Coturnix japonica: one gene and its partners. The protein of the gene in region 1 binds, or shares a complex with, the protein of each later gene. Links are inferred from orthologs where the notes say so. Each region holds a gene or a part of one and is shown in the gene's direction. Other genes may lie near its edges.

Region 1 (4,178 bases):
TCTCCTTCATGCATGATGAGAGATCACAGTCACCACGGCTTGGAGAGAGCATTACCTCTGAATTCAAGAAGCAGTGGGCTATAGAGTGTAAAGGTGGGTGGTGGGCAATATATGATAAACAGCTCTCTCCAGGGCAGAGAGCACAAACTAGCACCCTAAATCTGCTGTGGGGATTTGCAGTAGGTCCTTCCCAGTGTTGGGATAACTCCTTCCCTTCAGGCAAGACTTATGTGTATAAGCATATAGGGATAAAGAAACCATTAATGTCTGAAGTACGAATTTCTTGGAGCAGTCTAAAAGATGTGTATGAGTATTTCTAGAAAAGGACCAGGGCTTCTTCCTGATCCTGTTCTCCTGATATTATTTTTATTACTTACTATTTTGTCACGATGCCCTTACAGAGCATTGCAATGGAGCATCCATCTTTCGTCTTCCACCATAAGTGCTTCCAAGATTACATGATTCCCCATCCATTATATTTCCACAGATAGTACATACTCATCAATTATACTTGAGACAACTAACTTACACACACTTAACACAGGTAGAGATGGATGAGATTTCCAGTCTTCTATTCCATGGTCTCTTCTACTGTCTAGTGTCCTTTTAGCATCATGGCAGTCCAATTGACAGTCTTTTACTTCATCCAGTGGTCTTCCTCACTTGTCCTCTAGATGAACTTTCTTCACTGATGCATGCTCGATAACGCATATTGTAAGTAATTTATAGGTACTAAAATTGTAACATTTGCTCACTCAGCACTTGGCCATTATTTCTGGACATCTGCTCATCCTTGGATAGAGATAAGTTTGGCAACCTGTCTTTTAGTGATATATACCGGGGTGTTAACTTCTTTTTAATAATATATACTGGGTTGTAGAAGGATAGAGGGGAAATCCTTGACACCTAGAGAAGGAGACAATTTGGCCTCATGTGGAGGTCTCAGCTTTCATTATTGCGTTTCTTTTGCTGAGGGTCTCTTGTCAAAACAGAACAGCTTTACAACACGTTTTCCAGTCCGTAATACTACACGCACACTATATCAATCACAACCACGTACAGAAGAGACTCATTGGACGGGGACACCTCTGACGGTGGTGCGTGGGTAACCCCTGAGTCACGCACATTATTTTGGTGGCTGTGTTTTTGTGGATTTTTTGATCTTTCTTTTAGAATTGTTACCATTAGGTAACCCGAAAAGCACAGTAACCGAATGTAAACACAAAGACCCAGCACATCCCCCCCCCACACACACACACACGAGACAGTGCCCCCACCCCGCTGCAATGCCGACAGTGCCGGAAGGGGAGGGTATGTCGCTGTGACGTCCCGCAACAGCACAGTGCGGGGCTGCGCTGCGCTGCGCTGGGTTTGCGTGCGCTGCGCGGGCGTAGTAGGGTTTGCTGAGTGCCCGGTCATAGGTGACGGAGGGACGGTAGTGGCCGGCTCGGTTGTGTCGCATCATGAAGTTCCAGTACAAGGAAGACCACCCGTTCGAGTACAGGAAAAAAGAAGGGGAGAAAATCAGGAAGAAATACCCCGACAGAGTCCCTGTGAGTGTGCTGGACGAGCGCTGCCCTCGGGCTGGCTGTGCAAATGTCGCCATTCTTTGCTGTCCTTGTCGTTGCCGTCTGCTGCTTTGCTTCTTTTGCAAGGAACGGGATTGGGAAAGATGACTTTGGCGTGTCGGTATTAATTCCGGATTGCTTTCTCTTTAGTGCCACCGTATTTGTTGTTCTACGCCAAGGTCCGTGGGTGGGTGTGGGGGTCTTTTTCGGGCATCCGCAGTAATTCGACAGCAAGAACGCTGTTAATCTTATTATGGCAGCCTATGCGTGTGGGGCTGGAGGGTGGGGAAGGAGCTTACGACTTGCTCTGGGAAAATGGAGGAGAACAATGAATGTGTGAAACAGGCGTTCTCTGTAAGGAAAAAAAAAAAGGCCTAAATCGCTGTTATCAGATGTTTTGTTTTTATTTTATACCTTTTTCTTTTTGGAGCTTGCTTTTCAGTGTAGTCCAGCTCCGTTCTTTTCAGCTTTGTGTTTTGCATGAGAGTTAAAAAGAGATGGATGCTCAATAATAATTCCCAGTCTTACTTCCCTACTCTTTAATCACCCAAAAAGCATCATTTGGAAAACAAGATCATTTTCGAGCTGAACTTTCCTTTCTTGTCCTTAGGACTGTCTGGAATCTCAGTGGAAAACTCCTGGCTTTATAATTTGTGGCAATAATTGCAAAAAGAAATAGTAACACTAGGGTTTATTTTGTTTGTTTTGTAACACTGGAGAGTTCTGTCCTAGATTGGGGTGACCAGAGGTGCAGTGTGCAAAAGAACTGTTTCACCTGAGCTTTTCCCTGTAGGATGAGAGTAATTGAGCATGCAGTGTATGCAGGTCTGTCTTTTGAGATGACGGCCACAGCAGGCTCAGCTGGTCAGGAGAGTGGCAGGTAATGCAGCAGGTCATGATAGAAGTGACTGGAAGAACTATGTGGAGAGCCCAGCAACAGACCTGGTCTGGCAAGGAGTAAAAATGCCAAGACAGAGGGGCTTTAGTAGAGTGTAATGGACAAAAACAGGATCAAACTAAGTGAGCTGTGCTGCAGCTAAGGGGAAGTGAAAACACTGCTTGGAGAGGCCTGGTGTGGATTGCTGGGGAAGGCTTGTTGTCAGAGCTGCACAGAGTGCAACAGACGTATTTAATCACTTCTGTCACTGCCCTTCACGACAGTAGGATCCTTGACAGCAATGTCCCATTGGCTGCTGGCACTTCACTGTTGTGATATGTCTGCATTTTGCTGAAATTATAATGCTGGCCCAGTCCATTGTTACCACAGTCACCCAGCAGCAACAGACATCAAGATAATATATCTGCCCTTTGGATTGTCTTTGTAAGTTTGTCTCTCTGTGCAAAGTAACCTTTAGAAGAGATACCTTGCCTGGGTTATCAGGGAAACTTACTACAGTTGATTATCTAGGAAAACACCTCCATTTTTCCCTCTTTGCAAGAGGGAGATCTGTCTCAAACTTGATTATTTAATTTGAATCCTTTCTAGGGGTTTAGAATCCTCAGAGCTCACCTTGTCCTCATAAATCAAGGTACCCCCTATCTTCTTTTCCTTTATCTAATGACTAAGCTACATGCCATCCTTTTGAGTCAGCTTGGTCCTGTCACTGTTGCTACCTGACAGTTCTGCTTACCAATCTTCTAAATTGAAAGCAAAAACTAAAGGCTTTTTTTCTACTTCAGTTTATTTGATGCTACCATGTAGCGTTTCAGGGTAAGAAAATAGGCAAAGTACTGTTGCTGGTCAGTCTGAAGCTGTGTAGTGAGGTTGTGCAACTACCTTTCCTTCACAACACTTGTCAATTTTATCTTGTATGGAAATGTATGTCCTAACACAAACTTAGTGTGAAAGAGCTCAGTTGCCTAGTAGTTGAGGTTCTTGAACTAGCAAACTACGTTTGTGTTTTAGGAAGAAACCTAGAATTTTCAGGGCTTTTGGCTGCATTGGAGGCATCTAAATGGAGAAGAGTATACAGGTATCCAAGCCAGCATCTCTACTGTGTGACATGCTTTGTGGATACTTGAATCTGGAACGAGGAGTGTTTGGTTGGAAAAAGTGCCATGCCAAGTTAATACACAAAGCTTATCATGTCTTTTTCCTTTGGTGTACTGTTTCATTGATGTGACAACACCATTTTCCTTCCAAAGAAGGAAGGAAACACGAAGCACAACAGTCCAGCCTTTACTATTGCACAGCTGACACAGCTGCTGATTTTGGCTTCCCAGGGAGGTGGTTGAATCGCCATCCCTGGATGTGTTTAAGAGCCGTTTGGATGTGGTACTCAGGGATATGATTTAGCAGAGGGTTGTTAGAGTTAGGGTACTATGGTTAGGCTGCGGTTGGATGTGATGATCTTCAGGGTCTTTTCCAACCTGAGCAATTCTATGATTCTTAGAAATTAGTCTCACAGTGTCTCAGGGAAGGTCAAAATGGTTTCTGAAGAACAGTAAGCCACATAGATTGAATCATGTAATATATCTCTCTACTTGATCAAAAATACATACCAGGAAAAAAAACAAACCTACCAGTGGCTGCATTTTCTTTCCACATGCACACAGTATTTCCATGGAAACGTGTCACCAAGCTTTGGAAAGGTTTCCAAGCCTTTTCAT
Region 2 (3,922 bases), on another chromosome or scaffold:
AGCTGAGCTAAGTTGTACATAAATACAGAGCATGGAAGTGTCTCTGCTATGAGGGCTAGGTAAAAAGGAATATATAAGTAAACTATGAAAATACAATCTACTGTGCCTATTTTAAGTACCAAGGCTAAACTGAAGGTAAACAGCCCCTTGAAACATCAACAGTTGTAAAGGAGACTGCACCCAAAACCAGATCCGCTGAGGAAGTGCCCAGGCAGGTCCCAGCTTCTCAGCTCTTTCCTTTCTATGTATTACTGGTCAGAAGATCTGAGCAATACATGTTTTACATGTCTGAACTCATTCCACACACCAAAGAAGCTGTCTGTACTTAAGCACAAGCTCAGCACTTTGTTAGACTGGGGCTTTAGGGAAGGCTTACTGTGTTTAACAAAAAAAGAGAATTAAACCGAAAAAAAAAAAAAAAAAAGAAAAAAAAAACCTGAATGATGTATTCTGTTATTCACACAGGCCCCCATTTAGCTCATAAGCCAGGAAACTTCACTCTGAAGATTGCACACTTGTGCTTCTATAAATCTGAGTGACATTTACTGTCCTGTTAAGCTGAGGTAGCGCTGCTCTTAATGACACAGAGAGATTAAGAAGTTTACACACTGGAAATAGAGTTATTCAGACGTTAGCCATTCTCTTTTCTGATGATCAAATCACATCAGTGGGCTTTAGAAATCAACAGCTCTGTTCACATAAAGAGAAAGGATATTAAACGAACAAACAAACAAACAGTGGTAAAACCATCTGGAAGTGCTTCTGTAACTCTTCTGGAGTTAAATCTTTGGTGCTAATAGCCCAGCACCTGCTGGACTGAGAAACTGTATCTACTAGACTTTATGATTAGCTAATGTTAGATTTATTTGTGTGATTGTTTCATTTGGCATTAAGATTTGACATCATTACTCCAAGAGGAACAGAACTGGGTATTAATATGAAGTTAAATCAAATAATTGTCAATTATTTTCTGTATTAATAGAATTTGAAGCCCTGGTAGTCCAAAAAAGCTTCCTGAGCTTAGAAATGAGGATGATGGAAGAGCAGAACAATGCTGTGAAATCCAATTGTAGGCATTAGGGCACGTTGCACAGGTTACAAAATGAACAGCAAGTTAAACTGAGTTCTTCAGGGACACCAGAGGAAGCCTGGCTTTTTTTTCATCACCAGCACCGCTCGACTGCACAGCCTTCTGCGGTTACTACAGCTCCAGGTTCACCAGTCGCAAACGCTTTCTTTCAAAAACAAAAGATCATCAAGCATTCTGTCCACAACGCAAACCTTTTAGCTCACTACCCCTCTCGCAGCCGCCCGCTCCAGGGGCGGCCCAATGGTGCTGAGGCAAGCAGCGGCCCGCCCCAGGGGCGGCTCCTCCCGGGCCCGGAGCTCGCTTAAAGCCGCGGCCGGGACAAGGCTGGTAGAAGCCCCACTGCCAGTGTCTGGTCATGGCCCGCGACCGCGGCTCGCCCGTGCTGTGGCAGTCCCCGGCTTCCCCCCGCTTGCCTGCAGCCGCTCTACCGGCTGAGGCCCGCGGCTGGGGATGGCTGGGAGCGGGGCTGTGGCCGGCGCTGGTGGTGGGGCTTCTTGCCGCCCTGGTCGCCTGGTTCTGGTACGGCAGCAGCGACGGACGGGGAGAGGAGAGCGGCGAGGCGGCCCCGACGGTCCAGCAGGCGAGGGGAGAGGCGGAGGCTGCAGGTAGCGGGCTGGGGTAATGCGGGCTGCCCGTGCCCACCTGCGAGGGCTCGAGTTAACTGCGTTGCTTCAATTGCGTCTGTTTTAATTCTCTGTTCTTAGAGGACCTTCTGGTGAGCAGTGAGGAAGTGCTGCGGCAAGCGAAGGCTGCTGCTCTGTCCAGCCCTCAGAAACCAGGAGAGGATTTGACGGCAACACGAGGGAATGAACTTAACCATATTGTGAGCGGTACGGTTTCCTGTAAGTCACCAGAGACGGAGCAACTGCCGCCAAAGCAGCGTGTCACCTCCTCCGGGACTGATGCTAGGCAGTGTCTGATTGATGCACGTGATGGTCAGGGAGGAGACTCGAGACCACAGGTGGGACAGGCAGGTGAGGGATGGTGTGTGATGAATTCGGCAGGAGCCTCTGGTGAGATTTGTAAGGACAGAAGCGAGGGGCAGGTCTGCCAGCCAGCTGAGAGCCATGACTTGGACCATGAAGACTGGGAAGTTCTTTCTGAGCACCTGGACTGGGGGGAGGCCGGTCAGAATGGCAGCATGGAAGACTCGGACAGCAAAGAATGGGAACAAGGAGACTGCTCTGATGGGGACTTGAAAGCAAAGAGAGTTGCAGCAGTGCCCCCAATGTTTCAGAATATCCATGTGACTTTCCGCGTGCACTACATCACACACTCTGGTGCTCAGCTGATCGGTGTTACCGGTGACCATGAGTGTCTAGGCCAGTGGCACAGTTACGTTCCTCTCAAGTATGACAAGGATGGCTTCTGGTCTCAGTCTGTTACCTTGCCGGTGGACACCAAAGTAGAGTGGAAATTTATCTTGGTGGAGAACGGGAAGGTCACACGTTGGGAAGAATGTGGTAATAGGACTCTAGTGACTGAACATGAAGATCAAATCGCTCATCAGTGGTGGGGATACCACTGACTGCATTTTGGATGCTGCTTATCTAAACCTGCTTAGATTAATCACAGAGCCCTAAACTTTCTCCCTCTTCAGTAGGATTCCTTCATGACTGCGCAGCTCTGTAAGTCCCATGTCAAACCTAATTAAACTGTGTGAGCAGTAGATCATGGTCATCCCCCCCACTTTAGGAAGTCATTTGGCAACTGAAAAATCAACCCTGGCCATCTTCTGAAGATGTGCTGAGTAGGATTCGAAGGCATGAGCAGCATTCTGAGCTGCTGCCTGTCTGGATAATTCTGGACCCTGGACTTGAGTTTGTGCTGCTTTGAGTGGGGCTGTGGGACGTGCTGGTGGCTTAGAGCTTTAAAAGCATACTAGGAAGCGTGGTTACCTACACTGTAAGATGAACTTAAATGTTTTAACTTATGTAATGTATCAAGTAAGCAATAAACACTTTTGGACTAATGGTCCTTTATAACACGACCTGTGAACTGGCTATAAATTGCATAGAACAGATTTGGGTTCCTTGACTGAAAATCTTAGTGCTAAATGACTCCTGAAAAGTAACAGGCACTCTTTAGAGTGACAATGTTTGTTTCTTACCCCCTGCTCTCTAGGAAGCACCCCAGCTCAAAGGAAGGCTTGGCAGATGCATTTATTTTTTTCAGCTGTATCATCACAGTGAGATGGGGAGCAAAGGTCAGAAATGACTGTCTGGGCTTAATAAATTACTTTGTCAGAGTGAGAGCAGGCTTTAAAAAAAAAACAACAAAAAACAAACAAACAAAAAAAACAACCCCAAACAAACAGAACCAAAGCTGCTGTAATACTCAGGGGCTAGAGTTCTTCCTGAAATAGTTACATGGCATATACTGCTTGTGAAAGCAATAAACTATAGTTAAAAAATACTTGGAATAACTATAGTTAAATAATGGAATGCTTGTTTCAAGGCAAGTCTTTACTTTGTGCAGAGCACTTCCAGCATCAACTGGTTGCTTCTGTTTTGTAAAAATAAGATACCTGCTCCTCTGTCTGCTTTTCATATTGTTAGTTCTAAATATGATGCTGCTTGCAGCAAGCTCCTCTCAAAAATGAGGAACCTAGTTTGCAAATATCCCTTCATCACAATTCACTACAACAAACCTGCTCTGGAGAGAATAGTTTCATTGGGGGTTTGGAACATACACTTCAAAAACCCATTGCAAAGCTCATAGTCTCTGCTTATGTTTAGCTGTTTAACATAGTGGAGCAGTCTGAGTAGGTGAACTAGACTGTTTTTGAGTGCTAGTTTGTGTTCTCAGGTAGATCAAGCTCCTCCCAACAGT
Region 3 (3,647 bases), on another chromosome or scaffold:
TCTTTGACCTCTGACAATCGAGTACTTAATTTTCCCTCTCACTGCCTTAATCTGTGTGTTGTTTTCTCTAGTGTCGAAAGATCTCTAAGATCATCCAGTCCAACTGTCTACCTATCACCAATGTTTTCCACTAAAACATGTCTCCCAGTACAACATCTGAACATTTTTTGAACACTTCAGGGTTGGTGATTCCACCACCTCCCTGGGCAGTTTATTCCAGTGACTGATTACTTTCTTAGAGAAGTATTTCCTAATGTCCAACCTGAATCTCCCATGGTGCAACTTGAGGCCATTTTTTTTCTAGTTCTCTTGCTAGTTACATGGGAAAAGAGGCCAACTCCTACCTCACCACAGCCTCCCTTCAGGTAGTTGTAGAGAGTGATAAGGTCACCCCTGAACTTCATCTTCTCCAGACTAAACAATAATGGATTCCGGGGATCTGATGCTGGGAACTACCACATTATGATTCCAGTTCATTGCTTGTTGATGAAAACTGTAGGATTTCTTTCTCTAGGATTTGCTGTCCTTTGAGCTACTGGACATCAATATTGTACAGGAATTAGAGCGAGTGCCACACAATACTCCTGTTGGTAAGGATATTCTGGTGAACTGTTGCTAGCATTCCATTTTACCGTTTACTCAGTGAAAATTTGTTTGGGCAAAAGTTTTTGTTTTTCAGGCTGAAGTGTCTTCCTAGTTCCTGTGTTGTTTTTTTTTTGTTTGTGTTTTTGTTTTGTTTGTTTTGTGCATCACTAGAGGAGATTTAGTTGTCACTTGTCACTTTCTTCTTTTCAATTTCGCATTCCCAGGACCATAAGATTCCAGGCATTCTAGAAGGTTGCCATTTGCTTTCCTTGACAAGTGCTGGTGATTGCAGAGTTAATTGTCAATTTTGCCAAAGTGTCTTACAACTCTGCTGCCTTCGAAGAACGTTCTTTAAGAAAGGATCTTAAAAAGTTACTTTCTTGAGGAAGGTTCCTATTACTTCAATGACGGTCATCTTCATAATTTCTGTTTTACAGATGTGACTCCCTGCATGTCCCCTTTGCCGCATGATAGCCTCTTGCTAGAGAAACCTGGCTTAGATCAGATAGAGGAGGAGAATGAGGGTAAACCAGTGTCTGGTAAGCAGTAGTGATGGGGAGCCTGAGAATGGGGAGGGAGGAGGATATTGTCAAATCTGAGAACTGGACAGTAGTTGTGTTTTATTTACCTAAAGAATTTGAACTCCTGTTTTTTGCATATCTGTGGAAAACCAGTTCATTGGATTATAAATCTATAATCTGATACTATTCTCTATAAAGCTTGGAGTGTAATGTATCTAAAATTCAGAAACAGAAAAGCATGATTCTTATGAGTTTGCTACCTAGTAGAATTGGTGAGAGAACTAAGAATTTGCCTTTTAAGGACTAGATTAGACTCGCATTCAATTTCAACTTGAAATGAATTCCAAAATCTTCAATTTCTGAGGAATAATCAGTACATAGGATCAGTATTAGTAGCCTTGGCTAGCTTTAAAAAAATGGTTTTATGCTTGTGTTTCCTTTTAGTGACATTCAAGTAATCTGTTGTTTCCCTTTCAAAGGAATGATTGAAATCTGCTTTTCTACAGATTCTTGTGTGGTGAAAATGAAAACTGAACATCCACTGAACCAAGAAGAAGGGGAAGAAGATATGAGCGGGACTCAGTTTGTGTGCGAAACTGTAATTCGCTCTCTGACTCTGGATGCTGCACCTGACCATAAACCCCCACAAAAAAAGAAATCGCAGAAGAGTGAGTACTGTACTCAGCTGACTTTTGTGGTGTTATTTTCCTTGCAGATATTGGCCACAAATTGATTTATACTGCAGCTAATGATAAATTTTCAAATTATTTTTACTGATTGCTGTATTAGATTCTTTGCAAACATTCCAAGACGCTTTCATTTGTAAGGTGATAAATGAAGAAACTACTAGGATAAAAATTCACTCTGTTTCTAGAAAGGAATTAAAAATCCATCAGTCAGAGGCAATGATAGAAAATGGTAATAGTACGTAAAATGAGTCTAAATTGAGGGTAAAGCTGTAATAAGGGCTGCAGGCGGAAAAAAAAAAAATTCAGTTACAAAAAGGTCTGGTGTTCTGGGGCTTTGGTTCTCACGTTGTACCAAGGATCAATGTTACATCAGAATATTGTTGTCATTGCTTTGAACAGCTGTTTTGAGAGCTAGCAAAGTTAATTAAAGGAAGAAAAATAAAAAGTGAAATTGAGATAATGCTTCCAGTCAATGTTCCATTCATTACCCCAGTCATTCAGATAAGTGCTCATAGATGGCTAGCACTTGCATAGTTTGCATGCGTAGTTTGACGCCTGTGCGTAGATCTGATACATATAATGTAGGAGCTGAAAACTGCTGTTCTCAGTGTACCTGTTACTTCTGTTATATTCCACTTAAATTTAATATGAGATCAATACCTCCCTTCTCCTCTCGTGAAATAATATTAATAAAAAAAGCTCTTACACAGTTAACATTGGTAGCAAAGGTTTAAAGTTATGTCTGAATGATTGCCCTTTACACCTGGAACACTACTGCTTTTGGTCTTATCCACACAAAATAGACAATTTTTAATACCCTTTTCATTCTTTTTAGATGAGCTTCTGCTGTCTGATGAGAGAACAGACCGCTCTAGCAGTACAGTCAGATCTGATGAAGATGATGATAAAGATGATGTTCAAAGTCAAGGCTCTTCTGCTTCATCAGAGGATTATATCATTATTCTCCCTGAGTGCTTTGATACCAGTCGTCCTTTAGGGGAGTCCATGTATAGCTCAGCTCTTTCTCAGCCCAGCCTGGAAAAGATGGGAGAATCTGAAACAGGGGCAGGGAATTCAGAAGGGGAAAGGCAGCCACAGATGCATAGCATCAGTAACATTTTGACAACTTCACATACACTGGCTGTAGTACCGTTGGCCTCTGAGGTTGTGGACACCTTACCCCAGTCAGAAAGGTATGATTCTAGGACAAGAATAAAGAGTTGCTGCAGGCTTTACAGGATGTTGCATTCAACTTCAGTGTCAAAATAGAAATTGTTGCCAAAAAAAATCAGTTTTGCATGTGCCTGTCCATCGTATATCCTGTTACTTTTTTTATAAAGCCATTTGTGCATAGCTAATCTGTGAGTAGAAAAGGAAATAAGGGAGTACGTGAAGATTTCCTTTTGCTTTTTTTACCTAAACTTACCTACATGTGGGCACATTGAATGGAAGGGAAAAAGTAATTGTTCTGCTTTATGTTTTCAGAAATCTTGCATCTCTTCAGAATCATATCTTCCAAGAGCCAAACAGACCAACTTTGGAGAATGTCTCTTCCACTCCTTGTAATCAAATAAGAGAAGGTAATGACTGTACTTACTGAAGGGTGCATACATAGTTGCATCCTATTCTTTACACCTGCAGTTGAATTTCATGTCTTCTATCCTTGAGGGGAACAGAAACCTACCCAAGTAATACTAATCTGTTTCTCTGGGGGTGTTTAAAATTTTATCATACAGAAGTCTTGAATATAACAGTAATCAGCTTTGTGAATCAGGTGAGAGTAGTGTTTATTGATTAGAAATGTTAGAAGAGCACTCAGGAGTGCCTTTATACATGTAGAAGTTTATCTTGC

The links.
Region 2: the proteins of GABARAPL1 (region 1) and STBD1 are in contact, whole or in part, in a crystal structure (PDB 8X8A), measured with the Homo sapiens proteins. The link is inferred for Coturnix japonica from reciprocal best matches to the Homo sapiens genes GABARAPL1 and STBD1. Residues at the interface, in NP_113600.1 of Homo sapiens: Glu17, Ile21, Tyr25, Asp27, Arg28, Pro30, Val31, Ile32, Lys46, Lys48, Tyr49, Leu50, Val51, Pro52, Asp54, Leu55, Gly58, Gln59, Phe62, Leu63, Arg67, Phe104; in NP_003934.1 of Homo sapiens: Glu201, Glu202, Trp203, Glu204, Met205, Val206, Pro207, Arg208, His209, Ser210, Gly213.
Region 3: the proteins of GABARAPL1 (region 1) and NBR1 are in contact, whole or in part, in an NMR structure (PDB 2L8J), measured with the Homo sapiens proteins. The link is inferred for Coturnix japonica from reciprocal best matches to the Homo sapiens genes GABARAPL1 and NBR1. Residues at the interface, in NP_113600.1 of Homo sapiens: Glu12, Tyr13, Lys16, Glu17, Lys20, Ile21, Lys24, Tyr25, Arg28, Pro30, Lys48, Tyr49, Leu50, Val51, Pro52, Phe104; in NP_005890.2 of Homo sapiens: Ser729, Glu730, Asp731, Tyr732, Ile733, Ile734, Ile735, Leu736.

The regions. Positions count from the first base shown.
Region 1 is NC_029516.1:70,390,239-70,394,416, reverse strand, and holds the start of GABARAPL1 (gamma-aminobutyric acid receptor-associated protein-like 1), read left to right. Parts: upstream 1-1,324; 5' UTR 1,325-1,463; coding exon 1,464-1,553; intron 1,554-4,178. UniProt on the Homo sapiens protein: Ubiquitin-like modifier that increases cell-surface expression of kappa-type opioid receptor through facilitating anterograde intracellular trafficking of the receptor. Involved in formation of autophagosomal vacuoles.
Region 2 is NC_029519.1:44,505,383-44,509,304, reverse strand, and holds STBD1 (starch-binding domain-containing protein 1), read left to right. Parts: upstream 1-1,412; 5' UTR 1,413-1,445; coding exon 1,446-1,695; intron 1,696-1,794; coding exon 1,795-2,618; 3' UTR 2,619-3,393; downstream 3,394-3,922. UniProt on the Homo sapiens protein: Acts as a cargo receptor for glycogen. Delivers its cargo to an autophagic pathway called glycophagy, resulting in the transport of glycogen to lysosomes.
Region 3 is NC_029542.1:4,762,809-4,766,455, forward strand, and holds part of NBR1 (next to BRCA1 gene 1 protein), read left to right. Parts: intron 1-514; coding exon 515-590; intron 591-1,022; coding exon 1,023-1,124; intron 1,125-1,612; coding exon 1,613-1,774; intron 1,775-2,630; coding exon 2,631-2,988; intron 2,989-3,280; coding exon 3,281-3,375; intron 3,376-3,647. UniProt on the Homo sapiens protein: Ubiquitin-binding autophagy adapter that participates in different processes including host defense or intracellular homeostasis.